Linked DNA regions of Macaca fascicularis. The protein of the gene in region 1 purifies or fractionates together with the protein of each later gene. This does not show direct contact. Links are inferred from orthologs where the notes say so. Each region holds a gene or a part of one and is shown in the gene's direction. Other genes may lie near its edges. The genes, in order: TOPBP1, CDC45, SIRT1, ATR and PLK1.

Region 1 (5,860 bases):
GTTTCTGAAATATTGAGAAAACGAGTTTGGCAATTCTGTAGCTTTTATGTTGCATTATCCTTCAACTCCATTCCCCTGTGTTAAGATAGAGAATAAATTAGTCATTTTGGCAGTTGCATTCCTTCCAAAAGATGGCATATGTAAGGTTGAATATAAACATATATAAGTCATCAGCTGAGATGTGATTATTTAATAAATGTTAACTGAGCCCATTTTACATATCTGACCCGAGCTAGGCTTTAGTTATATTTAGTAAGCAAAACAGATAGTCACTTCCCTCATGGAACTTAGAGCTTATTTCAAGGGGCGCACTTTAGTTCCCCTGCAACTAGATAAACAACCACAAGACCAAATACCACAGAATTCTATTGGCATACGAATTATATCGGCATTTTTCTGGGCTTGTTTTCAACACCATCCGGCATATCCTAAGTATGTCTCCATGTCAGCAACTCTCATTCCCAATGTGATTACTTCATCAGCACATCTGCCTTGCATGGCAACAGAATAATGATATTTTTGTTGGTATTTTGCCAGAAATCATTGCTTTTACTTATATAGAATAATGGGAAGATTAAAAAGTTCGTTTTTCTAATAGGCAACCAAATTACCTTTGGGTTTTTAAGTAGAGATTCAGACTTACAATTTTGGAAAATATACCACTGTGACCAGCAAGGGCTAGAGTTAAGGAAATGTATATTTTTCCCTTAAAATGGTTTTGAGAGACTGTATCTGAAACAATTACTTTGTGTTAGAGACATGTTATTGAACTCGGTGAGTAATTAGTGTAATTCTGTTTGGTGGTTCTCCTTTGTAAAAAAATGATTTTAAATCCTAAAAAATGAGGAAAGCAATAGTGGTATTTGTGTTGTTTTTCATTATTCTTCTGGTAAATTTAATATTTTCTTTTTTAACCATTTCATTCCCACAGAAAAATAACTAGATATACTGATATAAACATGGAAGATTTCAAGTGTCCTATTTTTCTTGGTTGCATAATCTGTGTGACTGGCTTATGTGGCTTAGACAGGAAGGAAGTTCAGCAACTCACAGTTAAGCATGGAGGTCAATACATGGGACAATTGAAAATGAATGAATGTACACACCTCATTGTGCAAGAACCAAAAGGTAAAACTGTGTTTCACAAAGGGACAAATGAAACATTTTCTCTAGTATTTAATATTTTATTTTTATTTATTTATTTACTTTGAGATAGAGTCTTGCTCTGTTGCCCAGGCTGGAGGGCAGTGGCACAATCTCAGCTCACTGCAACTTCTGCCTCCCGGGATCAAGTGATTCTCCCAACTCAGCCTCCCGAGTAGCTGGGATTACAGTCACCTGCCACCACGCCTGGATAATTTTTTATTTTTAATAGAGACGGGCCTTCACCATGTTGGCCAGACTGGCCTCTAACTGACCTCAAGCGATCTGCCCACCTTGACCTCCTAAAGTGCTGGGATTCCAGGCATGAGCCACCATGCCCAGCCACTAGTATTTAATATTTTAAAATCTTTACAGAACAGCTTTTATTTCTGACATGTCATTAATCTAGTTTGATACTGTTTTCTCTAACATCTTGCAAAGGTAGTTTGGGTCACAATCTGTAAACCGATTATATGACTTTTTTTCATATTTATTCAGGTCATTGAGTAAGTATAAAAAAACCAAAAACTTTTAGTGATGTTTTATTTAAGCTTACTTTTGTATCTTTTGATTTTTTAAAAATGTTCCTCACACAATTACCAAATAATGACAAGAAGTTTGGGTAAATAACAGGAAAACTAATAAATATAGCTAATTGGCATTTCTTTCTAATGACTAATTTAAAAAGGCTTAACTTAGTTTTAGTTTGACTGAATGAACTACAAGTTTTAACTGGAAGACACACCTTGCGGAACATGAGGCAGTAAAAAATGAAGAAGACATTACCAACAATAAAAATTCTTTAAAATTGCTGTTAGGTTGCCGGGCGCGGTGGCTCAAGCCTGTAATCCCAGCACTTTGGGAGGCCGAGACGGGCGGATCGCGAGGTCAGGAGATCGAGACTATCCTGGCTAATACGGTGAAACCCCGTCTCTACTAAAAAAATACAAAAAAACTAGCCGGGCGAGGTGGCGGGCGCCTGTAGTCCGAGCTACTGGAGGCTGAGGCAGGAGAATGGCGTGAACCCGGGAGGCGGAGCTTGCAGTGAGCTGAGATCCGGCCACTGCACTCCAGCCTGGGTGACAGAGCGAGACTCCGTCTCAAAAAAAAAAAAAAAAAAAAAAAATTGCTGTTAGGTTTGGTGTTCCATAACATTATTTTGGATGATTTTTTATCAGCACTCTTAAAATATACACAAATTGATAAAAGATGAGTTTTGTTAATGTTTTTATTATTGCCTTTTATATGTGTACCATGTTTTACTAAGCTACCTAGATTGAGAAGAAATTAAGATTAAATGGTAATTGTCCTTAAGTCAGAACTTTGGGTATGGCCAGTTGTGATAGGATCACTGTGAGTAGAGTTGATACTGCTGTTCTTTTTCTGAATCTGAAGACTGTTCATTGTTGATTCTCTCAAGAATGCCAAAAAACGTTTCATGTGACATATTGACCTCAATTCCTCTGTGATACTGCTTCAAAATACATTGTGTTAAAGATTTTTAAGGTAATAAAAAGATACATATTTTTAACGTAATTTATCTATTGGCTTATCTATCCTGGACTTTAAGTAGAAGCCTGTTGACATTGGAATAGTCTGTTCAAAGTTGGGATTTATTATATTGCACACATTTACAATTTTCACATTGTACAAGCTGGTTTAAAGAAAGTAAATGATGGAGCCTATATGCAAACCCAAGTCCAGTATTAATTCAGTTACCCCACAGTTGCTCCTGTCTTCCTGCAGTTTGTGTAAAAGATAAACACTCTCACATGGCATGTGTATTTATGCAACACATAGAAAATATAATTAGGCAGTAAGCTAAAATACTACTTTGTAATAAACTATGTAGCATACTGTTTAAGAGTAAGTACTGGTAACTTTAATTTTGTTGATAGGTTTTTAAAATAACCTGTTACAGCCAGGTGTAGTTGCTCACGCCTGTAATCCCAGCACTTTAGGAGGCCAAGGCGGGCAGATCACCTGAGGTCAGGAGTTTGAGACCTGGCCAACATGGTGAAACCCTGTCTCTACTAAAAATACAAAAAAATTAACCAGACGTGGTGACACGTGTCTGTAATCTTAGCTACTCAGGAGGCTAAGGCAGGAGAATCGCTTGAACCCAGGAGGGAGGTGGAGGTTGCAGTGAGCCAAGATCTCACCACTGCACTCCAGCCTGGGCAACACAGTGAGACCCCATCTCAAAAAAAAAAAAACCTGTTATAATTTGAATATTTCTGCAAAGATAGATTTTAATGGTTTTCATTTCTTGGTTTCTCCTGTTTTCTCTATTTCTTTCTTAACGCTACAGGTCAGAAGTATGAGTGTGCCAAGAGATGGAATGTACACTGTGTGACCACGCAGTGGTTTTTTGACAGTATCGAGAAAGGTTTTTGTCAGGATGAATCCATGTACAAGACAGAACCTAGACCAGAAGCAAAGACTATGCCCAATTCTTCAACTCCTACTGGCCAGATCAACACAATTGATAGTGAGTCTCACTGAGATTAAATATTCTGAAGACAGTCATATTTCTGTGTAATAATCAGTATGTTAATAGAATCACTGAGATAGGGAATTTCTTTTTCTTGTTTGCTATGCTTCTAGGCATAATAGTATAATAGTCAAATTGTGTGAAAAGTTAGTACTGAACTGTTCATAACTTTTTTTTAGAATGAATGAATGCTTTCTTTTATACCCTGATGTAATGCAAAAGATGATCAAAGAAATTAAGAACAATGGTAGATGGAGGCTTAAGATACAAGTATTAATCTTTTAAACATTACTGACATGCATATATTAATCTTTCCTTAATTTACGGTTTTGCTGCAGTTGTTATAGATCGTCTGTATTTGTATAAAAATTAAAACAGTTTCTATTTTGTAGGTGTTGTGTTGGCAAAATGTTTAAAATATTTTTTCAAATGTAAGCCCCTTGGACCTTAAAGTCAGCAACTTCAGATTTTTATGGGAAACAAGACACTATTAGGAAAATGTGTTAAATCTATTTTCATTTAAATAAGATAAGAGGCTTAATTAATTTCATTTTCCCTTTTTATACTTTGTCACTAAGATTTCAGTAAACACCCCTGAATCTTACTTTGGAAGTTGTTTATTGCCCTATATTTGTAAGAAAAGTTAATCCATAGACAATATATAATCACGATTATTTTATCTCCCATAAATTTATACATGTTTTCAAAATATGTAGGTCGTACTCTTTCAGATGTCAGCAATATTTCCAACATAAATGCAAGTTGCATAAGTGAATCAATATGTAATTCACTTAACAGCAAACTGGAGCCTACACTTGAAAATCTAGAAAATCTGGATGTCAGTGCATTTCAAGCACCTGAAGATTTATTAGATGGTTGTCGGGTACGTCTTTATTATATAATACATGCATTAAGTGATGATATGCATTAGCATTTCCTGGCCTGACTTTGAAGACCCTTCAGAGTTGGGCTTGCTTCTTACTACCTATGTAAACTCTCCACTCTAGCTAAGTAGATGTGCTTACTAGACCATGTCCATCCTTTGGCTGCAAGAGTCCCTCTGCCTGTGAGGTATCTTCCTCTGTTACCTTTTAAAAGTTCATTTCAGGTTTTAACTCTTCTCTGAACCCTCCTAACTACATTAATCTTTCCATCTGCTGTATTTTGAGAGCACTTAGTTTCTGAACGACTTATTGGATTTTTTATTTTTATTTTTTTGAGATAGGGTCTCACTCTGTCGCCCAGACTGGAATACAGTGGCACAATCATAGCGTCCTGTAACCTCGAACTCCTGGGCATCAGCCACCCCTTAGTCCGCAAGCAGTTAGGACTACAGGCATGTGCCACTACAACTGGCTAGTTTTTAAAATTTTTTTGTAGAGACAAGGTCTTACTATGTTGCCCAGGTTTGGACTTTTATTTATAACTATCATCTAAGTGTTTACAGTGTATTAGACACTGTACTAATCATTTTATGTATGTTAATATATATATAAAATCTCATTTAATTCCCACAGATAACTCTAAAATGGATATTATCTTGAGGGTAAGACTTAGAGAATTAAAATTCTTGTTCAGAGTCACACAGAGAGACATTAAGTGGCCAGTTATCTACTCCAAAGTCTGTATTCCTTACCATTAGAGCCAATGCTTTGTTTGGTATTTCTTGGGCTATTTAATTTTTTAGTATATGAATAATTGTCTTATGAGTTTGTTGATGGAAACATCATATGCTATACTTTTTCGGCTGTCTTAGATTGGAAAACTTAATGTATTCCTATTTGTAGAATGACTTGGCTGTGCATTAATTTTCACAGAGTAGCAAAAATTTAACCTTACCTTATTGTTAAGAAGGGAAATTGGAGCTGGGCGTGATGGCTCATGCCTGTAATCCCAGCACTTTGGGAGGCCCAAGCAGGCAGATATCTGAGGTCAGGAGTTCAAGACCAGCCTGGCCAACATGGTGAAACCCCATCTCTACTAAAAATACAAAAACATTAGCTAGGTGTTGTGGCAGGCGCCTGTAATCCCAGCTACTTGGGAGACTGAGGTAGGAGAATCGCTTGAACCCAGGAGGCGAAGGTTGCAGTGAGCCGAGATTGTGCCATTGCACTCCAGCCTGGTCAACAAGAGTGAAACTCCATCTCAAAATTTAAAAAAAAAAAAAAAGGAAATTTAGCAAATTACCTTTTTTTTTTTTTTTTTTTTTAACTTACCAACTTA
Region 2 (5,860 bases), on another chromosome or scaffold:
TTTTTTAGTAGAGACGGGGTTTCACTGTGTTAGCCAGGATGGTCTCGATCTCCTGACCTCGTGATGCGCCTGTCTTGGCCTCCCAAAGTGCTGGGATTACAGGCTTGAGCCACCGCACCCGGCCTATATATATATTTTTTAAACGGAATCTCGGTCTGTCGCCCAGGCTGGAGTGCAGTGGCATGATCTCGGCTCACTGCAAACTCTGTCTCCTGGGTTCATGCCATTCTTCTGCCTCAGCCTCCTGAGTAGCTGGGACTACAGGCACCTGCCACCTCGCCCAGCTAATGTTTTTGTATTTTTAGTAGAGACAGGGTTTCACCATGTTAGCCAGGATGGTCTCGATCTCCTGACCTCAAGTGATGCGCCTGCCTCAGCCTCCCAAAGTGCTGGAATTAGTTAAAATTATTTTAGAATACACTACTATTTTATATTATTTCTCCAAGAAAATGCATCCTGGTTTCCAACTTGAAATACAGGAATAAATTTAAACAATAGATGCCAGGATTCCTCCCACCTCTGCATGGGGCCAAATGAGAGATGGGACATTGTAGACCCCACAGAGAGGGGATGGGACATGGAAGAGGGACCCTGGAGTCCCTGGCCATATCTAGGATTGTTTTGGCAGAGACAAGTCCTCTCCTGGTGTTCCTGTTGTTATGTCAAGGACCTGCACCAGCTTGGTATTGATAAGGAAAGCACATGCAATAGTGATGGAGTGTGATAAAGGACTTAATATTTAAGTACCAATAAAGTATTTGCTGAAAACTTAAACCTGTACAATGCCATTAGCCTGGAGAGGCATGCAGCATAGTACCGTGAGGTCTGGAGAGACGCAATCATGTGCTTGAAGCCTTGCTCTGCTCCTCTTTAGTTTCTTGAGCTGTCCATAAGACTTGGGCTTGCTGAGTCTCAGTGTGCTCCTGGGGAAAACGGAGCCCCAGGGCCCACACTGCTCTGTCACCATGCTAAAGCACTTAGCATGCCAGCCTGGCCGTTTTTTGGAATCCCTTGCCACGTGGGCCTTGCCACATGTCAGGGACTTAGTAAGTTTAAGCAGAACAACTCAGAGACTTAGTGGTGAAGGGAAAAGGGCCTCCTCGATATAGCTACTTTACAATATCTTCCTTTTTTTCAGTTTCGTCATTTTATTCTCATAAACTGTGGAGCTAATGTAGACCTGTTGGATATTCTTCAACCTGATGAAGACACTATATTCTTTGTGTGTGACACCCATAGGCCAGTCAATGTCATCAATGTGTACAACAATACCCAGGTACTTTTTGTGCTCTGCCCTCAAACTGTCTGTACTTTTTATGCCATGTACAATGTCTCACCTGGTGTTCTTGGTAAGGTGTGTGTCTGACTATCCTGTGGGATTGGAACAGCCTGAACACAAGAACTTGGTCTTTGTCATCTTTTTTTTTGAGAGATAGGCTGGAGTACAGTGGCACAATCATGGCTCACTGAAGCCTCAAACTCCTGGGTTCAACTGACCCTCCTGCCTCAGCCTCGTTAGTAGGTGGGACTACAGGCACATACCACCACGCTCAGAAAATATTTGTTTATATTTTTACTTGAAATGGAGTCTTGGATGGGCATGGTGGCTCACACCTGTAATCCCAGCACTTTGGGAGGCCAAGGCGGGCGGATCATGAGGTCAGGAGATTGAGACCATCCTGGCTAACATGGTGAAACCCCGTCTCTACTAAAAATACAAAAAATTAGCCAGGCATGGTGGTGGGCGCCTGTAGTCCCAGCTACTTGGGAGGCTGAAGTAGGAGAATGGCATGAACCTGGGAGGTGGAGCTTGCAGTGAGCCAAGATCGTGCCACTGCTCTCCAGCCTGGGCGACAGAGTGAGACTCCGTCTCAAAAAAAAAAAAAAGAGGCTGGGCGCAGTGGCTCAAGCCTGTAATCCCAGCACTTTGGGAGGCCGAGATGGGCGGATCACGAGGTCAGGAGATCGAGACCATCCTGGCTAACCCGGTGAAACCCCGTCTCTACTAAAAAATACAAAAAACTAGCCAGGCGAGGTAGGGGGCGCCTGTAGTCCCAGCTACTTGTGAAGCTGAGGCAGGAGAATGGCGTAAACCCGGGAGGCGGAGCTTGCAGTGAGCTGAGATCTGGCCACTGCACTCCAGCCTGGGTGACAGAGCGAGACTCTGTCTCAAAAAAAAAAAAAAAAGAAAAATCAGCCTGGAGTTACTTTTAGACAGGAGTTTTAGTCATCTAGGGGTTACACATCTTCATGTCCTTTATCAGAGGCCAAGTTGTGGGGCATTCATTTTATTCATGTATGACATAAGAGGATGCTGTGTTTCTAGACTTAAGTAGACTAGATGGTCCTCAAAGAATTGTTTTCAGATTTTCGTAATTTCTGCATACCACGTATGGTGTAACTCTGGTGCCTCACTGGTAATGAAAACAAGAAAATTCCTTGGAAGCCTGGAACTCTTATTAAATTGGTAGCTATTTGTATGAACAGGAAACTGAGTCAGCTTATTAGGAAATGATGAGATTCTGCAGAAGAACATATTGTGTAGTTTTCCGTAGAAAGAGGAGAGGCTTAATTCCTTTTTGTTTTGAACTTAGATCAAATTACTCATTAAACAAGATGATGACCTTGAAGTTCCCGCCTATGAAGACATCTTCAGGGATGAAGAGGAGGATGAAGAGCATTCAGGAAATGACAGCGATGGGTCAGAGCCTTCTGAGAAGCGCACACGGTTAGAAGAGGTGTGTTTGGGTCTCTCACAGCCATCCCGGAGGAACTTGCACTCCCAGAGGTCAGAGGTCATCCTAAAGGCTGCCAGGCCCAGGTGTACCTGAGGGCAGTGGGAAGTGGAGAAGTTAACAGGCATGGATGCTGACCCTGGGCTCTGCTGTCCCCTGGTTGTGTGGCCTCAGGCAGGTTACTGGACTTCCCTGAATAGTGGCTTATCTATCCAATAGGATCCTGTCAGATAAAATGAAATTTAGGACAGCTCAGCTCTGCAGCTAGATAGCAAAAAAATAATGTAGAGAAGCAATAAATAGTGCAACTCCCACCCCTTCCTTTCCTACTGTCTTCTAGCATCACTCACTGTGCAGTCACTGCAGAGGAGCAATGTGGGTCTGCATCCCTTGGCCAGGCCCAGTCCCAGACAGTTACTCCAGGGGAGGTATCTTGTATGTACAGATACGAATGGTTTTCACCATGTGGACCTTGGGTCTGAGCTGCTTAGCGATCTGGGGCTGGGCCCAGGGGCCTACCCAACACTATGGCTTCTGCCAGATGTAAAACGATAGGCAGAAGGTGGTGATTCCTATAGCACGGAGGGCCATAGGATGTTTTGAAGATGCCCTCTGGCTCCCGATCTTGGTGTGTGACCTAGAATTTGCCCCCGGAATGTCCTAAGGTCTTCTCTTCATCCTCAGCCTGACATTTCCCAGTAGTGTGCTTTTGGGAAGTCTTTTTGAGCCATATTTGAGACATTCAGGACATTCTCCATTTGAGGAAGGGGCAGTGCCCTTAAAACTGAGGCATGCTTCTCTCTTCTTTCTCACCTTTGTCACCCCTTTCACTAGGTTTGGGTGTCTCATCAGGAATCTCTTGGATCTACTCTTATATTTCCTTACTTCTTGCCCAGCTCTTTGTCTGTTCTATTTTTTGGAAGACTTTTTGGTCTTTATTTTATTTTTTTTCCCTGCAGACAGGGTCTCTCTCTGGCCTCAAACTTCTTGGCTCACTCAATCTTCCCACTTCAGTCTCCCAAGTAGCTGAGACTGTAAGCACATGCCACTACACTCAGCTTGGTTTTTATCTTCTAATCTTTGATTTGTGAGAGGTCTTTTTTGTTCTCTGAATTTTTTTATATATAGCATTCTTTTTTTTTTTTTTTTTTTTTTTTTTTTTTTTTTTTTTTTTTTGAGACGGAGTCTCACTCTATCGCCCAGGCTGGAGTGCAGTGGCCAGATCTCAGCTCACTACAAGCTCCGCCTCCTGGGTTTACACCATTCTCCTGCCTCAGCCTCACGAGTTGCTAGGACTACAGGCACCCGCCACCTCGCCTGACTAGTTTTTTAGTAGAGACGCGGTTTCACCATGTTAGCCAGGATGGTCTCAATCTTCTGACCTCGTGATCCGCCCGTCTCGGCCTCCCAAAGTGCTGGGATTACAGGCTTGAGCCACCGCGCCCGGCCATAGCATTCTTTTAACTATTGATGAGCTGCATTTCATTGGTTCCCAAATATCAGTGTCTAATGGGATTTTCCCTGGAAACATTCATGTTCTACAGGTAAGTCTTGAAATTTTCCATTCTGACTAATAAACATATTTTTTAAACACTTACTATGTGCCAGGTACCAGTTAGGCCCTGGGGTGCAGGGATGAGAGCAAAGTCCTGCCTTTGCAAAGCTTTCCAGTGGGAGAGACAGATACTGATCATGTAAATGAGCACAATTAGGGAAAGCTTTCAGGTACCAAACGTGAGTTAGCATGGGATGAGCCAGGAGGATTCCTGGGCAGAGCATCCATAGACACTGCGGCTCTGAGGTGGGAAGGAAAGTTTCAAGGAAGGCTCGGCCAGCAGTGCCAAAGGAACAGGCCAATGAGAATAGCCCAGTGGGTTTGGCAACAAAGAGAAGGTAGGTTGTCTTGATGAGATGCAAGAAAATATCAGCGTTTCCTTTTACATACTTAACACATCAATTTGGAATCTATGTTTGTAAATGTTTAACATAATATTCATGAAATATAATAGGCATAATTTCCCACCAACTTTTTATTTTGAAGTTTTTTGAAATGTATGCAGTGTTGAAAGGATAGTACGGTGAATATCCATATATCTTCAATCTAGAGTCAACAGTGGATCATGACTGTAGGTGGTCTCAGCTACTTGGGCGGCCAAGGCAGGGGGATTGATCAAGCCCAGGAATTCGAGAACAGCCTGGGCAACATGAAGAGACCTTATCTCAAAAAAAACAAAAACAGTTTTTCACATTTGCTTTCTCTCTACATATTCTTTTTCCTGTATCATTTGAGAATAAGTTGCAGAAACTATGATATTATTTTTTATTTTTTATTTTATTTTTTCTTGAGATGGAGTCTCTGTCACTGAGGCTGGAGTGCAGTGGCACAATCTCGGCTCCCTTCGACCTCTGTCTTCTGGGCTCAAGTGATTCTCCTGCCTCAGCCTCCCAAGTAGCTAGGATTACAGGCGTGCACCTCCACACCCAACCAGAAACCATGATATTCCACACATTCTTTCGTAAGCAGCTCCTAAGAATAAGGACATTCTTCCCCATAAACACAATGCCATTGTCATGCAGAAGAAATGAATAATATGCTAATATCAGGTAATATTCAGCCCATATTCAGGTCTCTTTAATTGTCCTCAAAATATATTTTGCAGCTATTTTTATTTCTGAACTATTCTTCAATCAAGGTTAACACATTTAGCTATTTCTCTTTGCTGTCTTAACCTAGAACTGTACCTTACCTCTTTTTTTTCTTTTGTTTTGTTTTTAATGACACTACAGGCCAGTCATCTTTTCTTTTTTTTTTTTTTTTTTTTCTTTTTTTTTTTGAGACGGAGTCTCGCTTTGTCGCCCAGGCTGGAGTGCAGTGGCCGGATCTCAGCTCACTGCAAGCTCCGCCTCCCGGGTTTACGCCATTCTCCTGCCTCAGCCTCCCGAGTAGCTGGGACTACAGGCGCCCACCACCTCGCCCGGCTAGTTTTTTGTATTTTTAGTAGAGACGGGGTTTCACCATATTAGCCAGGATGGTCTCGATCTCCTGACCTCGTGATCCGCCCGTCTCGGCCTCCCAAAGTGCTGGGATTACAGGCTTGAGCCACCGCGCCTGGCCGCCAGTCATC
Region 3 (5,860 bases), on another chromosome or scaffold:
ATTATGAAAGAGGAAGAATAGTATATTAAAATGGAATCATTGTTCGGGTGCAGTGGCTCATGCTTGTAATCCCAGCACTTTGGGAGGCTGAGGTGGGTGGATCATTTGAGGTCAGAAGTTCAAGACCAGCCTGGCCAACATGGCAAAACCCCGTCTCTCCTAAAAATACGAAAATTAGCCTGGCATGGTGGCATATGCCTTTAATCTCAGCTACTTGGGAGGCTGAGGCAGGAGAATCATTTGAACTCAGGAGGTGGAGGTTGTAGTGAGTTGAGATCATGCCACTGCACTCCAGCCTGGGCAACAGAATGAGACTCCATCTCAAATAAATAAAATGGAGTCATTTTGTTTTACAAATGTGTATTTTTCTTTTAAAGGATCAATTCCCATTTTGTGTATATACACACATTGTGTTTTTCCTCTTATATGATGGACTCTTCAATGTCAAGTGTTTTTCTATATAGATATTATAACAAGAGCATAGTATTTCACTGTTTCATAGTATGTTAATAAACTACCCATCATTGACGTTTAGATTGTTACCCAGTTGCTGTTTATCTATAGCTTTTCTGTTTTTTTTTTTTTTTTTTTTAATAATTCTGAAATGTATTCTTAGAGGTATGGAAATGTTGACTATTTCTAACTTGAGCTTACTGTTTGCTTCTCTGTCTCAACCAAAATCTGAAAATTCGTAGGTAGTTCCTCGATGTCCTAGGTGCCCAGCTGATGAACCGCTTGCTATCATGAAACCAGAGATTGTGTTTTTTGGTGAAAATTTACCAGAACAGTTTCATAGAGCCATGAAGTATGACAAAGATGAAGTTGACCTCCTCATTGTTATTGGGTCTTCCCTCAAAGTAAGACCGGTAGCACTAATTCCAAGTAAGTTGGTGATGGCTTTTGGAGATCATTTCTATATATAATGTCATGGGTTGTGGATCTGTATAATAGACCCTAACTCTAGTAATCTTACTCTGCTTCTGTTTGAAAGAGTGGTGAAGAGCTAATTTTCGAAATTGTTTGTTTATTTATTGAGATGGAGTTTCCCTCTTATTGCCCAGGCTGGAGTGCGGTGGCGTGATCTCAGCTCACTGCAACCTCCGCCTCCTGGGTTCAAGCGATCCTCCTGCCTCAGCCTCCTGAGTAGCTGGGATTACAGTTGTCCACCAACATGCCTGGCTAACTTTTTATATTTTTAGTAGAGACCGGGTTTCGCCATGTTGGCCAGGCTGGTCTCGAACTCCTGAGCTCAGGTGATCCACCCGTCTTGGCATCCCAAAGTGCTGGGATTACAGGCATGAGCCACCATGCCCGGCCAGAAATTGTTTATTTATAGTAGAGATGAGGTCCTGTTGTGTTGCCCAGGCTGGATTTGAACTCCTGGGCTCAAGGATCCTCCTGCCTCAGCCCCTTGAGTAGCTAGGATTACAGGCACAAGCCTCCACATCTGGCTCAACTATTTTTTATGTGGCATTGTTGTTCATTGAGACTGGTGAATCTGACATTTTGATGGGGTGTGGAGGGTTGTCAAAACACAAGTAACGTTAGTGACTCATGCCTGTAATCTCAGCACTTTGGGAGGCCGAGGTGTGTGGATCCCTTGAGGGCAGCAGTTTGAGACCAGCCTGGCCAACATGGTGAAACCCTGTCTCTGCTAAAAATACAAAAATCAGTTGGGCGTGGTGGTGTGCGCATGTAGTTCCAGCTACGTGGGAGGCTGAGGTGTGAGAACCGCTTGAACCCAGGAGGCAGAGGTTGCAATGAGCCGAGATTGTGCCACTGCACTCCAGCCGGGGCGACAGAGTGGGACTCTGTCTCAAAAAATCAAAAACAAAAAACCCCACAAGTAATGCTAAACTCTACTTCTGATTTATGTGAAAAATTAAGACAAAGGTAAAGAGTGTAACTTAGACTTTTTGGTGGAATGTGTTTTTAATGTTAGCATCAATTAATTTATGAAATGGTCCTTAATCCTCATATTTTTATTCTTAAGATTACAGTTGATCTTTCAAATTTAATTGATTTCACATTTAATAAATTCAAATATATAGTTTGGTAGAAGGTAGAAGTGTAACGTACCATGTAAGATGGAATTTCGGGGCTCAAAATGATTGGTTCATTCTTGTTGTAATAATAGCCAAGTCATAATGGTGATATGTTGGTCTAGTTTACCCAAAAGGGTGTGTTTATAAAATGTTCACATAAAATTTAAATCCCTGTTACTCTCAGGAACATTTCTTTGTCATATGTATTCTCATACTGTTCTCTCCTCTAGTTTAGAATCAGAGGAGGAGGAGGAGGAGAGAGAGAGATTTCAGTTGCATCAGATGTATCCTTTCACAAGTGAGAGAAAGAGGACAGGAAACAATATTAAATCCCTAGCCGGAGAATTTAATTAGACCCCACATCAGCAGTCAAGGCAGCCAGAGTAAACAGTTGAAGGAAACATGGAGTCAAGCTCTTCAATTTTGTGTCTATCCCATATCTTGTGGCTTTAGCAGTTAACTCAGTCTTACCTAATTAGCTGTGAAATTCTGTTAAAGTAGAATACAAGACAATTTGCAATTAAATGAAACATGAAAATGTAATATACAAGTCCCTTTGTTCTTGAGTTACTCTTTTTAAAGCAAATTCAGAGGCACTCTGCTTAAAAGCTTTTTTTATTTTTATTTTTAAGAGATGGGTGTCTTGCTGTAGCTCAGGCTAGAGTGCAGTGGTGCAGTTATAGCTCACTGCAGCCTTGAACTCCTGGGGACAAGCAATCCGTCCACTTCAGCTTCCCCAGTAGTTAGGATCACACACGCACACCATGCTTGGCTAATGAAAAAAAATTTTTTTTTGTAGAAACGGGATTCACTTTGTTGTCCAGGCTGGTCATAAACTCCTGGCCTCAAGTGATCCTTCCTCCTCTGCCTCTCAAAGCATTAGGATTACAGGCATGAGCTACCACGCCCCGTTTTTTATTTCGAAAGCTTTCTGTGGGATAGTATGGTGTGTTGCAAAGATAATTAAAAAAAGAAACAGGTTTACAATAGTGTAGAATTTATTTGTATGACTTTTTTCCTTCCCTCCCCTCCCCCCCACTCCCTTCCTCCCTTCCTTCCATCTTTCCATCCTTCCATCCTTCCTCCTTCTGTTTGTCCTTCCTTTCTTCTGTATGTCCGTCCTTCTGTCCATTCGTCCTTCTTCCCATCAGTCCATCCTTCTGTCCGTCCTTCCTTCCTCCCATCCTCCCTCCCATCCTTCCATCCTCCCTCCCATCCTTCCATCCTCCCTCCCATCCTTCCTCCCGTCCTCCTTGCCTCCCTCGTTGCCCAGGCTGGAGTGCAATGGCATGATCTTGGCTCACTGCAGTCTCTTCCTCACTACAATCTCTGCCTCCTGGATTCAAGCATTTTTCCTCCCAAGAAGCTGGGATTAGAGGCATGCGCCACCACACACCCGGCTAATAGTAGAGACGGGGTTTCACCATGTTGGTCAGGTTGGTCTTGAACTCCTGACCTCAGGTGATCCGCCTGCCTCGGCCATCCAAAGTGCTGGGATTACAGGTGTCAGCCACCGCACCCGGCTCACCTTCTTTATATCAGGAGCTACTTAAGTAGAACATTTATGTGCCAAGAACTCTTCTATGCACTTGACTTATTAACTCATTTAATCTTCACAGTCTTGTGGAAAAGTACTATTATCCCCATTCTACAGACAAGGAAATTTGAGGTTCAGAGTGGGAAAGTCTGGGAATATTGCTCAGGGGTAACCAGGTGACAGGAGCAGAACCTGAACGTTTTATAAAAGACATTTAACTGCCTATCTGCTTGCTTGATGAAATGTAATGGCTTGGTTAAGTATTTAGTTCATGGGTTTTTTTTGGAAATTTGGAGCTCAAGCCCTTGTTGGATTTTTGTGTAATGTATCTGTTGTGGTTTTATTAGCTTACTTCTTCCTCCCTTTTTCTAACTTTTATTTTTCACCCTATTTTAGGTTCCATACCCCATGAAGTGCCTCAGATATTAATTAATAGAGAACCTTTGCCTCATCTGCATTTTGATGTAGAGCTTCTTGGAGACTGTGATGTCATAATTAATGAATTGTGTCATAGGTTAGGTGGTGAATATGCCAAACTTTGCTGTAACCCTGTAAAGCTTTCAGAAATTACTGAAAAACCCCCACGAACACAAAAAGAATTGGCTTATTTGTCAGACTTGCCACCCACACCTCTTCATATTTCAGAAGACTCAAGTTCACCAGAAAGAACTTCACCACCAGATTCTTCAGTGATTGTCACACTTTTAGACCAAGCAGCTAAGAGTAATGATGATTTAGATGTGTCTGAATCAAAAGGTCGTATGGAAGAAAAACCACAGGAAGTACAGACTTCTAGGAATGTTGAAAGTATTGCTGAACACATGGGAAATCCGGATTTGAAGAATGTTGGTTCCAGTACTGGGGAGAAAAATGAAAGAACCTCAGTGGCTGGAACAGTGAGAAAATGCTGGCCTAGTAGAGTGGCAAAGGAGCAGATTAGTAAGCGGCTTGATGGTAAGAAAGGCAATCGAACCATTTTGAAAGTATAGTTGTCATAACAATATTTCCAAAAAATTAGCTATTTCGGCAGGTTAATCGATAGGGTAGCTTTATGTAGTTGATTCTGTTTAGAGAAACTGTACAGTTCGTAATCAGAAAGGTAAATCTGGTATCCTTCATAATACAGAGAAGGAAGTGTTTAATAGTGCTCTGTATGTTTTCTCTAGGGGATGGAAAAATAAGAATGGGTTATTAGCTGGCGGAAACAATGACAGATTTGGGTGCTTATTGTGGGTTAGCTGCTTTACATATGTTACATGATTTTAATCTTCTGAGGTAGAATCTATTATTTTCTTCTGCAGGTGGGAAAACTCAGGACCATAGAGGTTAAATACCTCATGCACGGTAAATACTAAGAAGTGAAAGAACCAGATTAAAATTCCAGTCTATTTGTGCTTAGAGCCTGCCCCCTTAACTACTATGCAGTGTTGTCTGAGATTTAGAACACATCTGTGTTTCCTCTGAGGACTTGGAAAGAATCCGTGATTCTTCTCCACTGAATATAGGAATAGTTTCTACCCTGTTTAGAACATGCATAGTCTTTATCAATCAGTGTTAATTGACATAGGTGAAATCACTTTCTACTGTTCGGAAGCTGATGTTTTAAGTCCGAGTAGTCTGGTCGAAATTCCTAACTTAATGTTAGAAAAATACTGTTAAAAAAAAAAAAAACCACTGTAACTTAGCTATAATTTAGAACTCTTAAGTCTCATTCCATTTACCATACTTGGTGAAAACTGACAAATTTTAGACAACTGTATTTGAGTATTCCAGTCATTTGCTGTAAATACATTGTAGTTCAGTTGAATAAACCTTTGGCCTTTTTCATATTAGGCACTGTGGTAAGTTCTGGAGACACAGTGATTAATGTTGTATGTAATTATAAATGTGGGTGTTACTCATTAATACTTTGGTATAGGTGCTGCTGAAGAACAAAATAGTATTGTTTTGAACAAAACATCACCCAAAAGGTAGGTTGTTTTTTTTGGGTTTTTTTTTTTTTTTTTTTTGGTGATGGAGTCTCACTCTTGCCCAGGCTGGAGTGCAGTGGCACAATGTCAGTTCACTGCAACCTCCACCTCCCAGGTTCAAGTGATTCTTCTGCCTCAGCCTCCTGAGTAGCTGAGATTACAGGCGTGCGCCACCATGCCCGGGTGATTTTTGTATTTTTAGTAGAGACAGGGTTTTGCCATGTTGGTAAGTCTAGTCTCAATCTCCTGACCTTGTGATCCACCCGCCTCAGCCTCCAGAAGTGCTGGAATTACAGGCGTGAGCCACC
Region 4 (5,860 bases), about 8.8 Mb from region 1:
CCTTTGCGGTTGATAAGTATGCAAAATTTAGAATTTATTGAAGTCACTTTATTAACGGTTCTTACTCGTATTATTGCAATTGTGTTTTTTAGAAGGCAAGAACTCTTACTTTGGCAGATAGGTTGTGTACTGCTAGAGTATGGTAGTCCAAAAATTAAATCACTAGCAATTAGCTTTTTAACTGAACTTTTTCAGCTTGGAGGACTACCAGCACAACCAGCTAGCACTTTTTTCAGCTCATTTTTGGAATTATTAAAACACCTTGTAGAAATGGATACTGACCAATTGAAACTCTATGAAGAGCCATTATCAAAGCTGATAAAGACACTATTTCCCTTTGAAGCAGAAGCTTATAGAAATATTGAACCTGTCTATTTAAATATGCTGCTGGAAAAACTCTGTGTCATGTTTGAAGATGGTGTGCTCATGCGGCTTAAGTCTGATTTGCTAAAAGCAGCTTTGTGCCATTTACTGCAGTATTTTCTTAAATTTGTGCCAGCTGGGTATGAATCTGCTTTACAAGTCAGGAAGGTCTATGTGACAAATATTTGTAAAGCTCTTTTGGATGTGCTTGGAATTCAGGTAGATGCAGAGGTAAGTAATTTTTCAGGTTACTTGTTAAGTATGTATTTTGTTCATCATTTAATTGTATACATATGTGCAAAATGTAATAATAAGGAAATGGAATATCTTTAATAGTAATTTATATTTGGAACATAATGATTTTCATTGTGTAGTCTGGCTCACTGTTATGGACTTTTACTTTGATTTCAGAAGGATTTGTTATTTAAGTTGGTAATGAACTGCCAATGGAGTAGAATGTTTCTAAGTAGAATCTGTGATGTGTAAATGTATTTGTTGCATTATTAATTAAAAGGGGGCAGTTATCAACTTAATTGCAGAAGCTTTGATCACTCAAATAGATTTTGTGTCTGACAAGTTATAATCAATCACTTTTAGAAAACCTATGAATGATTAATCATGCCAAATTATGTGCTTTTTTCTGTTTGGACTGTGGGAGTCAGGAAATACAATAAAATCATCAGAGATGCAGTAACTTGATTAAATATTTTAATTTATTAATCTTGCTGGATTTGTTACATGAAAAAAGTTGGTAATTCCCTTACAACATTTTTTATAAGGGAATTAAAATTTATAGCATTTTGGTAAGAGGAAAAACAGGATATAGAGAGAAGGATTTGTCTTAAACCTTCTGAGACTATAGAACCATAGTCTATATATAGACTTAAATAATATAGATCAATTTAGATGTTTGTTTTGTTTTATGAGACTCTAAAAGTAGTTTCACTAGAAAACATCTGACTAACATCTAATACATTCTTGCTACCTATGAATAATATAAATATATTTTCTAAGGAATATTTCTGGAAATTATTTTTTATTTTCTCAGTACTTGTTGGGCCCACTTTATGCAGCTTTGAAAGTGGAAAGTATGGAAATCATTGAGGAGATTCAATGCCAAACTCAACAGGAAAACCTCAGCAGTAATAGTGATGGAATATCACCCAAAAGGCGTCGTCTCAGCTCATCTCTAAACCCTTCTAAAAGAGCACCAAAACAGACTGAGGAGTATGATGACCTTCATTCAGTTTGTATTTAGCCATTAAATAAAACTTTGTTCACTTTTAAAAATCAACTTATTAGTTAAGTGCTTTGATTTAAATACACAAAGAACATCTTTCTAAATGTAGCCAAGGGAGTGCTTAAAATATTTTAATAATTCTTGTAGACTGTCAGTAGTATAAAACATTTCATGGTTAAATATAGTTAGTTTGCATGTTTTTACATGCTTATCTAATTTAACTTTTTAATAGGTGAAAAATCTTTGAGACTGTGCATCTATTAGCAATTTTTAAAATGTTAACAAACAGTTTTTATAAAGTAGCTAAATAATTGCTATATTTCAGTTCTGAACATTGTTTTAATTGTTTTAAATCTTAATATGAATTTCAATAGTTGATATTACATAGTATGTTTTATTCTAAAGATGTTTCATGTTTTAACCAAATTTATATTGCATAAGAATATCTCTCTACTGTATTCATAATTATAGAATTAAACATGTGAACATGAACCAAAAGAGCGTATTATGGAGTGCACTGAAACAGAAAGCTGAATCCCTTCAGATTTCCCTTGAATACAGTGGCCTAAAGAATCCTGTTATTGAGATGTTAGAAGGAATCGCTGTTGTCTTACAACTGACTGCTCTGTGTACTGTTCATTGTTCTCATCAAAACATGAACTGGTAAAACAAACTTCTTGTTTCTTGGGGTTGGGTTTCCTGTAATGAACTTGGATTTACTGTTTACTCATTATTCACTTGAATCATGTGACCTTAGAACACAAACTTTTCACTGAAGTAGTTAAGAAATTTATTTTCTATTGAGTCAAATGCTAGGCACAGTGCTAAGCACTGTATATATCTTAGTTAATATTTACAGTAGTCCTCTAAGGTAAATGCTGTTATGCCCATTTTAAAAATTAGAAATTGACACTCAGAGAAACTGAGGCTCTTTTTTATCTGAAGCCAAAACTGACTTTCTTGGGGACGCATGGTTAGAAAGTACCAGAACACATTTGTGTACAACTCAAAAACCCAGTGTTTGGCTTTTGGAGACAGGGTCTCGCTTTGTCTCCCAGGCTGGTGTACGGTGGCATGATCATGGCTCACTACAGCCTTGATCTCCGTACGGGGCTCAAGTGAGCCTCCAAAGTAGCTGGGACTATAGGCATACGCCGCCATACCCTAATTAAAAAAAATTTTTTTTGTAGAGATGGGTTTCCCTGTATTGTCCTGGCTGTTCTCAAACTCCTGGGCTCAAGTGATCCTCCCATGTCAGCCTCCCAAAGTAATTTTAGTTCCCAAATCCTAAGGGTGATTTAAGCTGACATAAATAGATTAAATTTAAAATAATGATTACTTGATTTGCATATTTAAATTGTTGTAAATTTTGTACTCACAATTTCTTTTGGCTTTACTACAATTTTACGTTTGACTATAACAAAATTCGTCTTAATTCCAATGTCTTTAATAAAATGTACTTACTGCAGCCCTACTTTCAAGGACTGTCAACACAAATCCAAGAAGAAACCTTCTGTAGTGATAACTTGGATGTCATTGGATTTTTACACAAAAGTGCTTAAGAGCTGTAGAAGTTTGTTAGAAACTGTTCAGAAACCAGACCTGGAGGCAACCATTGATAAGGTGGTGAAAATTTATGATGCTTTGATTTATATGCAAGGTGAGTACAAATAAGCAATAGATCAGAATAACCTTTAAAGATAATCAGTATAGAAATACGCTTTCTTTTTTGCCTGAAGCCTAAGTGCATGGAATACCCAGAAGTTTGTTCTTGATTTCAGTTCTATTAAATTTGTCAATTTCTGAGTTGCCAGTTTATGTGCGTAATATTTTGATTCTTTAGTCAATAGAAATTATTTATAACTTTAAAGTTTTTTGATTTGGGAGTTTGAGGAATGCTGTGGTTCTTCTTTAAAAAAGGCACAGATACATGTTTTTATAAAGTCACATTTAATTTCTTTGGGTTCACAGACCTCAGACCATCATTTATGGATCTCTGTGTTAAGAATTTTCTTCTTATCGAATGATCATTATAACAGTATTTGGTATTTCAAATGTCTTTATTTTTGTTTAAAAGAGATATGATTAAGGAAAAATTATAATTAATGACTTATTTTGTGCTTCTGTAGTAAACAGTTCATTTGAAGATCATATCCTGGAAGATTTATGTGGAATGCTCTCACTTCCATGGATTTATTCCCATTCTGATGATGGCAGTTTAAAGTTAACCACATTTGCCACTAATCTTCTAACATTAAGCCATAGGATTTCAGATAGCTATTGTAAGTGCTCACAAGAATATGTTTGTGTGTGGTTTGTTTTATTTATTTATTTATTTTTGAGACACAGTCTTACTCTGTCATCCTTGCTGGAGTGCAGTGGCGCAATCTTGGCTTGCTGCAAATTTTCCTACCTCAGCCTCCTGAGTAGCTGGGATTACAGGTGTGCACCACCACACCCAGATAATTTTTGTATTTTTAGTAGAGGTGGGGTTTCACCATGTTGGCCAGGCTGGTTTCGAACTCCTGACCTCAAGTGATCCACTTGCCTCAACCTTCTAAAGTGCTAGGATTACAGGCGTGAGCCATCATGCCCGGCTTTGTGTGGTTTGTTTTAACTCACCTCTATATAGGACTTCTAAGACTTATTTAAATTTTTTTCAATAATTAAAAGAGCAGTTATATTTTTAATAATTCAGAAAGGGGTTAGATATATAAAAAGTAACACATAAAATCCTGACCCACATATCCCATTTCCTTTCTTTTTGTAAAACATTTGCAATGTATCCTCACGTGTCATTATCTTCATTTAATAAGATTAGGAAGTATTTGAGAAATATTTTAAAAAGAAGAACAATATACCAAAAATTCTTATACCAACTTCTCAGTTTAAGAAACAAAAACATTAGGCCAGGCACGGTGGCTCACGCCTGTAATCCCAACACTTTGGGAGGCCAAGGTATGTGGATCACTTGAGGTCAGGAGCTTGAGCCCAGCCTGGCCAACATGGCAAAACCTCATCTCTTCTAAAAATACAAAAATTAGCCAGGCATGGTGGCTTGTGCCTGTAGTCCTAGCTACTAGGGAGGCTGAGATACAAGAATCTCTTGAATCCAGGAGGCAGAGGTTTCAGTGAGCCAAGATTGCGCCACTGCACTCCAGCCTGGGCAACAGAGTGAGACTCTGTCTCAAAAAAAAGAAAAAAGAAATAAAAACATCATAGCCCTTTAAAGTCAATTTCTCTTCACCCTTCCCTCTCTTCATGAAATTTTTTTTAAAAAGGAAATAAAAATATTAGAGATATGATGGAAGCCCTTTGTTCCTCTATGATTTCATTCCCCTCATTTTTTTCCCCCAGAGATTACTACTGTTGTGAATTTGGTGTTGATTGTTCTGTTGAATGTTCTATTACTTTTACTATATATGTGTTTATTTGTAAATAATAAAAGAAATTGTTTTGCTTCTTACAGCTTACATTTTGTTGGTCAACATTATCTTTATGAGACTTATCCTTGGTGATATGGGTAACTCTAGTTTTTATTTAAACTTCCAAATAGTAGCCAAATGTATGGATAGACACTATCAGACCTCCTATTGGTGGACAATCACGTTGTTTCCAACTTTTCACAATTACATGCAACATTTAAATGAATATTTTTATAAATGATTCTTTAGTCATTCTAAGGCCTTGCTGTTTGAAAAGTATGGTCCACAGACCAGTAGCATCGCCACCATTTAGGGACTTGTTAGAAATGGAGCATCTTTGATTCTGCTGAGAGAGCACATTTAAAAAAAAATAAAATAAAATAAAGAAATGGAGAATCTTATGCTCCACCCAGACCTACTGAATCAGAATCTACATTTTAACAAGATAGGTGATTCATATCCATATTAAAGTTTGAGAAGCACTTTTTAACGTTTTTACCTACGTAAGAGTAGTATTGTTGGGTTATAGAGTTTGCACATCTTCACCTCTATTCTGCTGTATTGTTCTCCAAAGATATGCCAGTTTACACTCCTGTTAGCAGAGTATGAGTTCCACATCCTCACTGACACTTAGCTGACTTTAAAATTTTTGCTATCTAGAAAATAAAAAATGTCATGGAGTTATAAAACTTTTTTCTTTTTCTTATCTGGTAGGTATGATTTTCAATTTGCATTTCCTTGATTATTTAGTAAGGTTGTGTATAGACCTTTTTCAGTGCACTTTATTTTCTGAAAAGGAGCTTTTAATTAAATTAGGTATTAAATGTATTTT
Region 5 (6,608 bases), on another chromosome or scaffold:
GAGATGGACTGTGAAAAGAGATGAGAAAGCAGGCCTGTTTGCAAGGCTGGCCCTTGGCTGGCATCTGAAAGCTTGGATTTCAGGAGGGTTCTCATTAATCCCTAAATGATAAGAGTGGTTCACTGTGCCTAAACTGTTTGTACAATGTGGATTATGCCCGACATCTGCCTTCCTTCTGCGAGTCTTGGATTTTCATATGTGTTAGGCAGAGGATGAAGTGACCAGCTCCCAATCAGAGCCCTGAACACTGAGTCTGTAATGAGCTTCCCTTGTACACAACAGTGTGTATGGGTTGTCACAGCTGATTGCTGGAGGAATTGTGTCCTGTGTGACTCTGCTGGGAGAGGACCGTGGGAGGCTTGCACCTGGTTTCCCTGAACTTTGCCCATGCACTTTTTTCCTTTGCTGATTTTGCTTCCTAGCCTTTTGCTGTAGTAAATCATAGCCATAAGTATGATTACAGGCTGAGTCTGTGAATCTCCTAGTACATCATCAGACTAGGAGGTGGTGGTGGCACCCCTGGCACAGGGCACAAGGGAGACTTGCGGGGTGTTTGTCATGTTCTCTTTCTCAATCTGGGTGTGGTTTACAGATGTGTTCAGTTTGTGAAAATTCACTGAGCTCTGTGTACAATTATGATATGTACATTTTTTTCTGTAAGTATATTAAATTCCAATAAAAAGAATTATTCACACCATAGGGGTACTAAATAACTTAATTTTTCAAAGTCTTCCTTTTATTCAGCCAACATTTTAGTAAGTACCCTTTTTTTTTTTTTTTACCAAGCACTGCTCTGGGAGCTTGGGACATGGGGTGGAAAGGACAGCATCATTGCCTTCATTGCCTTCATTGCCCTTCCCTTTAGCTGCAAGGCAGGTGAAGGATACTTATAGTATGGTTGATTTTTGCTGGGCTCTATGAAGGATCAGAGGGTGCTAAGGAGGCACAGAGAAAGAGCTTCTAACTTAGGTATTTTGCTGTTCCAGGGTTGCCACTCAAGTACCTATAGAACAAAGGGGTGTAAATGGGAACTGTGGCAAACTGAAAGCATGTAGGCACAGAGTTAAGTAGCTAGAGCTGATTTTTTTCAGGAAAGGCCACAAATCCAAATTTTTATGACCTCCTCTTTTAAATGCTGTAAATGTTTTACAATGGCCGGGCATGGCTGCTTATGCCTGTAATCCCAGCACTTTGGGAGGCCGAGGTGGGCAGATCACTTGAGGTCAGGAGTTCAAGACCCGCCTGGCCAACATGGTGAAACCTCTTCTCTACTAAAATTACAAAAATTAGCCGGGCATGGTGGTGCACGCTTGTAATTCCAGCTACTTGAGAGGCTGAGGCGGGAGGACTGCTTGAACCCAGGAAGCAGAGGTTGCAGTGAGGCGGGAGGACTGCTTGAACCCAGGAAGCAGAGGTTGCAGTGAGCCGATATCTGTGCCACTGCACTCCAGTCAGAGCAAGACTCCGTCACACACACACACACACACACGTGGGAGGCCAAACAAAACCCTGCAAGACACATTTGGCTATGACCTGCCAGTTTGCTAGGCATTCTTCCAACCTTCCGTCCCTCTGACCAAGAAACTGAGTGTCCACTATTTTAGGCCCTGGGAAATTCAGTAGCGAGCAGGCCAGACAGCTTCCTTGCATCATGGAGGACTCTGGTACTGTGCTTCTCCAACTTCAGGATGTGTAGGAATCACCTGAGCAGTCTTGTTGAGAGGCGGACACTGACTCGGGAGGTCTGGAGTAGGGCCTGAATGTTTGCCTTTGCGGTTCTAACAAGCTCTCAGGTGATGGCGATGCTGCTGTTCCATGGCCCCTTCTTTAAGCAGCGTTGCTTTGTAATCCGGAGGAGCTCAGAAGCGGCAGTTATTTGAAGGAGCAGACTAGCCATGAAGGTATGTTTGGCAAGCACACTTTTACTTAGATTTTAGTTCAGTTCGGGTGGCTTGGCTGAGAGCTGACGGCATCGGGAGGCGGATGCTAAGGCTTTCTTAAACGACCTGCTGGCATGCCAGTTCCCTACTCTTAGATTGCTTATATTCTAGGTGGGGTGGAAGTGGAGGAAGATTTAAGGAAAAGCTTCCTGGAGGAGGCGCAAGCGAACTGCAGGAGCTTTCCCGGACGCCCGAGAAAGGGAGAAACCCCGAAGGAATTCCTCCCCTCTCGGGGCTGGGTCTCCGCATCCACGCCGGATTTGGTTTCCCAGGCTATCCCACGTGTTCGGGCGTCCCTGTCAATCAAGTTTTTCCCCGGCTGGGTCCGGGTTTAAAGGCAGCTGCTGCGCAGGGCGCTCCCATGGTGCCGCGCGGCGGGCGGGTTTGGATTTTAAATCCCCGCGGCCAATCAGTGGCGCGCAGGCTTTTGTAACGTTCCCAGCGCCGCGTTTGAATTCGGGGAGGAGCTGAGCGGTGCGGAGCGTCTGCTCGGATCCAGGTCAGCAGAGCAGCTCCAGGAGCATGAGTGCGGCAGTGACTGCAGGGAAGCTGGCACGGGCACCGGCCGACTCTGGGAAAGCCGGGGTCCCCGGAGTTGCAGCTCCTGGAGCTCCGGCGGCGGCTCCACCGGCGAAAGAGATCCCGGAGGTCCTAGTGGACCCACGCAGCCGGCGGCGCTATGTGCGGGGCCGCTTTTTGGGCAAGGGTGGCTTTGCCAAGTGCTTCGAGATCTCGGACGCGGACACCAAGGAGGTGTTCGCGGGCAAGATTGTGCCTAAGTCTCTGCTGCTTAAGCCGCACCAGAGGGAGAAGATGTCCATGGAAATATCCATTCACCGCAGCCTCGCCCACCAGCACGTCGTAGGATTCCACGGCTTTTTCGAGGACAACGACTTCGTGTTCGTGGTGTTGGAGCTCTGCCGCCGGAGGGTGAGTGTCGCTGCTGGTTAACTGGAACTGCCTGCGGGGCAGTTGGAGCGCCCAGACCTGGAGCTGCTGGAAAGAGTGCCCAGGAAGGGAGTACCTGGGACTTGGAGCTGGTAGAGAAGGGTGCTGGGAGCCTCCCTCTTAGGTATGGAAAGTGCCTTTGGTAAGGGCTTCTTGGCTCTTGGAGCTGCTAGAGGACGGGGTTCCAGTGAAGTGGAGTCTGAGTCATGTTGCTGATAGGGAGGTCAGCTTCTGGACGCGAGGTACTTGGGGGGAGGGCTGCTGGTAATGGACGCTAGGGCCCTGGAGTGGCCAGGGAGGAGTCCCAGGTTAGTGATGCCGGGCACTGGGAGCTTCCGGAGTGTAGCTGGGTCAGTGAGGGGGTAGTTGGAGCTAGACTTCGGGCCTTCCGAGGGAGATAAGAGTCAGGAAAGGGATCTGCTGCTGGGGACTTCCGGAGTGGGGCTGAGAGAGGACCCCCAGGTAAGGGAGAAAGCTAGTAGGAGAAGGGGTGCTGTGAATGGTTGTGGACAGTGTTAAGGCAGGGTCCAGATGCCAGTTGTCCTGGAGAAGGAATGGGGTGGGGGCATAGGGAAGGAGAGAAACCCACCAAGACCCCTCTTTCATCCTTTGGGAGTCCAGAGTCCAGTCCTGTGCTTCCTTTGCCTGGTAACCCTCTCCCTTCCCCACCGGCCTCAATACCACCTCCCCATCCCTCCTGCCCTCTCCTTCCCATCCACAGTCTCTCCTGGAGCTGCACAAGAGGAGGAAAGCCCTGACTGAGCCTGAGGCCCGATACTACCTAAGGCAAATTGTGCTTGGCTGTCAGTACCTGCACCGAAACCGAGTTATTCACCGAGACCTCAAGCTGGGCAACCTTTTCCTGAATGAAGATCTGGAGGTGAAAATAGGTGAGTTGCTGAGCCTGCAGGGGTGCTTGACATCACTCCAAGAGGCTGGAATTTGGAGGAGGCTGGGAGAAAGGAAGGAGACCAGGAGGAAGGAAGAGGATGGTGGGAAGTTTGGGCTGTTGATTGCCTCTAGAATTCTCTCTTTAGTCCAGAAATTTCAAACAAAGAACCCACAAGTCAGTATCTTGCCTACAGATGCATTATTTTTTGTGCCCCAATACAGCATTTTTCTTTTTTTACAAAGAATTTGAATTTGTTTTTATTTTTTAAATTGGAAGGTTTGACATAAAAATTTTGATTTAGAGCTCCTTTTAAACAGTCATGAAAGCTCCAGTAATACGAGGACAGCATTTTCTTAGGGCAGTCCTTTGCTGGGCTGGAAAGCAGCTGTCCCCTTCAGACTTGTTTGCCACAGTCTCTACTCCTCCCTATTACTTCTTCACAGACTTGCCAAGTCTTGGAGGTTAACTTGCTTGATCCTTGAAGGCACTGGAGTTTTGCTATCCCTGCCAGTTCCCGTTTCGAAGTATAGCCCCTTTCTAAGGGGAGGGGTGAGAAGGGTCACTGGAGGCACCTCCCTGGTGTCAGCATGGCGGGAAGATTCCTGGGCAAGCCTTGCTGCGTACAAGGAGCAGAAGCTTGTGGGATCAAATGGCCCTGGTTCTTGATGGTCAAACCTTAACTAGCCTTCTGCATTGACAGATGGCAGAGGCTGGCATCTAAGTACCCGCTCTTCCTCCCTCTGTCCCAGGGGATTTTGGACTGGCAACCAAAGTCGAATATGACGGGGAGAGGAAGAAGACCCTGTGCGGGACTCCTAATTACATAGCTCCCGAGGTGCTGAGCAAGAAAGGGCACAGTTTCGAGGTGGATGTGTGGTCTATTGGGTGTATCATGTAAGTTGGGAGTTATCTCTGGATCTACCTGGTCTCAGCAGGGGCAACTTTGGGACATCCTACCTGGCTGACCTTTTCTGTGGACCTTTCGGCCTGCTTTACAGCAAACCTACTGCAGGGGACAGGTTACCCCCAAACAAAGCCTAACTGCCATATCTTTCCCTGTCACTGGTGTATCCTGTTGGATTTCTGCAGCCTAGGACATGGGGGAGGAGGAGGGGGAGGAGAAGGAGGAGGAGAAGTCGTCTCCACAACCTTACTCTAGTCCTTTGCTAGAGTGGTCCACAGGGCAGCATCACCATCATTTGGGAACCTGTATGCGGAATCTCAGGACCCAGATTACTGACTGGGTCAGAATCTGGATTTTTTAACAAGGTCCCTTGGTAGTTCCCGTGCACAATAAGGTCTTAAACATTGATGAACATTAGCATGGTGGGGGAAATTAGGCCAGGAGTTACAGATGGAAGGATGACGTGCTAGTGGTCTGTCTGGATTGAGACCATCAGCAGCGGTTGGTGGCAGGCAGAGGCTTGGGCCTTTTCAGGTATTACCTTTCTTGTTTGGGGCCTAGGTACTGGAGAGTTAGAAATGAGTTGTAGCAGTGACTTTCATACATCTTCGCAGTGGGGTTTTTCCAAATGAAAACTTGAAGACTTAAGTACAGAATTGCTAAAGGTAGAGCTGCTTCTGTAAGTGCAGGTAGCCCTTTGACCTGTTTTGCATGACAGGCAGCCTCTGAGGCCCTTGCAGAGTCCTAGATGACCACAGGCCACAACTAAAAAATCACTGGCCCCTAAGAATCCTAGTCTCACCACGTGTATTCTGCTAAGGGCTCATTCTAGCCAATATTATGGCTCCTGGGGCTGCTCAGTGGACTTGGTTGTCTTCAGGGGCCCCAGAGTTACAGTGAGTGTCCAGAGGATGCCTGGTCTTTGTTCTGACCCTGAGATGATTTCTCTTATGTCTGGGTTGTGGCTGGGAGGCTGGTGCCAAATCCTACCTTGTGCTTACAGGTATACCTTGTTAGTGGGCAAACCACCTTTTGAGACTTCTTGCCTAAAAGAGACCTACCTCCGGATCAAGAAGAATGAATACAGTATTCCCAAGGTGACTAATGATGCTTTAACTTTACATTTATTTTGTTTTCCCCAAAAGCTGTTTATGGAGCCCAGCAATATCCTAAGACCAGAAATAGGTCTATCCCACCTCTAGGATAGCCACAGAGCTTGCGAGGGCCTGTGTCTGAAATTACATACAGAACTTGACATGTATGTGCACATAAGCATTTTTTCTAGGGGGAGAGAGTTGGCAGATTCTCAAGAGATTGGGTAGCCCAAAAGTTGCGTAAAAAGCAAAAAACAAAGGAGGTAGGAAGGAGTAGGAGGCTAAAGTGCTTAAGCTTTGGAAATGGATTATCTTAATTCAAATGGATTCTGCCACTTAGCCAGATCACATTGGGCAAATGGCCTGCATCTTTTTTTTTTCTTTTTTTTCTTTTTTTTTTTTTGAGGTAGAGTTTTACTCTTGTTCCCCAGTGCAGTGGCATGATCTCGACTCTCGACTCACTGCAACCTCCACCTCCCAGGTTCAAGCGATTCTCCTGCCTCAACCTCCCAAGTAACTGGGATTACAGGTACCCACCACCTTGCCTGGCTTTTTTTTTTTTTTTTTTTGTATTTTTAGTAGAGATGGGGTTTCACCACGTTGGCCAGGATGGTCTCGAACTCCTGACCTCAGGTGATCCACCCGCCTCAGCCTCCCAGAGTGCTGGGATTACAGGCATGAGCCACCATGCCCAGCCTGGCCTGCATCTTCTGAACCATAGTTCTCGTCTATAAAGTGGAGTTCCTGCCTTGGAGCACCTCACAGAGTGCCTTACATGTAGTAAGTGCTCACAGAATTATGAATCACTGAATCCCAGGGCTTCCTAATGG

The links.
Region 2: the proteins of TOPBP1 (region 1) and CDC45 purify together in Homo sapiens (affinity purification with western blotting; 3 studies listed by BioGRID and IntAct, with this or other methods). This does not show direct contact. The link is inferred for Macaca fascicularis from reciprocal best matches to the Homo sapiens genes TOPBP1 and CDC45.
Region 3: the proteins of TOPBP1 (region 1) and SIRT1 purify together in Homo sapiens (affinity purification with western blotting; 3 studies listed by BioGRID, with this or other methods). This does not show direct contact. The link is inferred for Macaca fascicularis from reciprocal best matches to the Homo sapiens genes TOPBP1 and SIRT1.
Region 4: the proteins of TOPBP1 (region 1) and ATR purify together in Homo sapiens (affinity purification with western blotting; 8 studies listed by BioGRID). This does not show direct contact. The link is inferred for Macaca fascicularis from reciprocal best matches to the Homo sapiens genes TOPBP1 and ATR.
Region 5: the proteins of TOPBP1 (region 1) and PLK1 purify together in Homo sapiens (affinity purification with mass spectrometry; 3 studies listed by BioGRID and IntAct, counting the BioPlex papers as one, with this or other methods). This does not show direct contact. The link is inferred for Macaca fascicularis from reciprocal best matches to the Homo sapiens genes TOPBP1 and PLK1.

Annotation. Positions count from the first base shown.
Region 1 is NC_088376.1:36,577,647-36,583,506, reverse strand, and holds part of TOPBP1 (DNA topoisomerase 2-binding protein 1), read left to right. Parts: intron 1-931; coding exon 932-1,128; intron 1,129-3,454; coding exon 3,455-3,634; intron 3,635-4,353; coding exon 4,354-4,520; intron 4,521-5,860. UniProt on the Homo sapiens protein: Scaffold protein that acts as a key protein-protein adapter in DNA replication and DNA repair. Composed of multiple BRCT domains, which specifically recognize and bind phosphorylated proteins, bringing proteins together into functional combinations.
Region 2 is NC_088384.1:33,362,786-33,368,645, reverse strand, and holds part of CDC45 (cell division control protein 45 homolog), read left to right. Parts: intron 1-1,138; coding exon 1,139-1,276; intron 1,277-2,594; coding exon 2,595-2,738; intron 2,739-5,860. UniProt on the Homo sapiens protein: Required for initiation of chromosomal DNA replication. Core component of CDC45-MCM-GINS (CMG) helicase, the molecular machine that unwinds template DNA during replication, and around which the replisome is built.
Region 3 is NC_088383.1:78,652,311-78,658,170, reverse strand, and holds part of SIRT1 (NAD-dependent protein deacetylase sirtuin-1), read left to right. Parts: intron 1-695; coding exon 696-882; intron 883-2,275; coding exon of another isoform or gene 2,276-2,280; exon of another isoform or gene 2,281-2,415; intron 2,416-3,978; coding exon 3,979-4,536; intron 4,537-5,860. UniProt on the Homo sapiens protein: NAD-dependent protein deacetylase that links transcriptional regulation directly to intracellular energetics and participates in the coordination of several separated cellular functions such as cell cycle, response to DNA damage, metabolism, apoptosis and autophagy.
Region 4 is NC_088376.1:45,366,653-45,372,512, reverse strand, and holds part of ATR (serine/threonine-protein kinase ATR), read left to right. Parts: coding exon 1-594; intron 595-1,411; coding exon 1,412-1,590; intron 1,591-2,074; coding exon 2,075-2,266; intron 2,267-3,072; coding exon 3,073-3,263; intron 3,264-3,732; coding exon 3,733-3,885; intron 3,886-5,860. UniProt on the Homo sapiens protein: Serine/threonine protein kinase which activates checkpoint signaling upon genotoxic stresses such as ionizing radiation (IR), ultraviolet light (UV), or DNA replication stalling, thereby acting as a DNA damage sensor.
Region 5 is NC_088394.1:22,745,991-22,752,598, forward strand, and holds the start of PLK1 (serine/threonine-protein kinase PLK1), read left to right. Parts: upstream 1-2,445; 5' UTR 2,446-2,462; coding exon 2,463-2,870; intron 2,871-3,609; coding exon 3,610-3,778; intron 3,779-4,529; coding exon 4,530-4,674; intron 4,675-5,687; coding exon 5,688-5,781; intron 5,782-6,608. UniProt on the Homo sapiens protein: Serine/threonine-protein kinase that performs several important functions throughout M phase of the cell cycle, including the regulation of centrosome maturation and spindle assembly, the removal of cohesins from chromosome arms, the inactivation of anaphase-promoting complex/cyclosome (APC/C) inhibitors, and the regulation of mitotic exit and cytokinesis.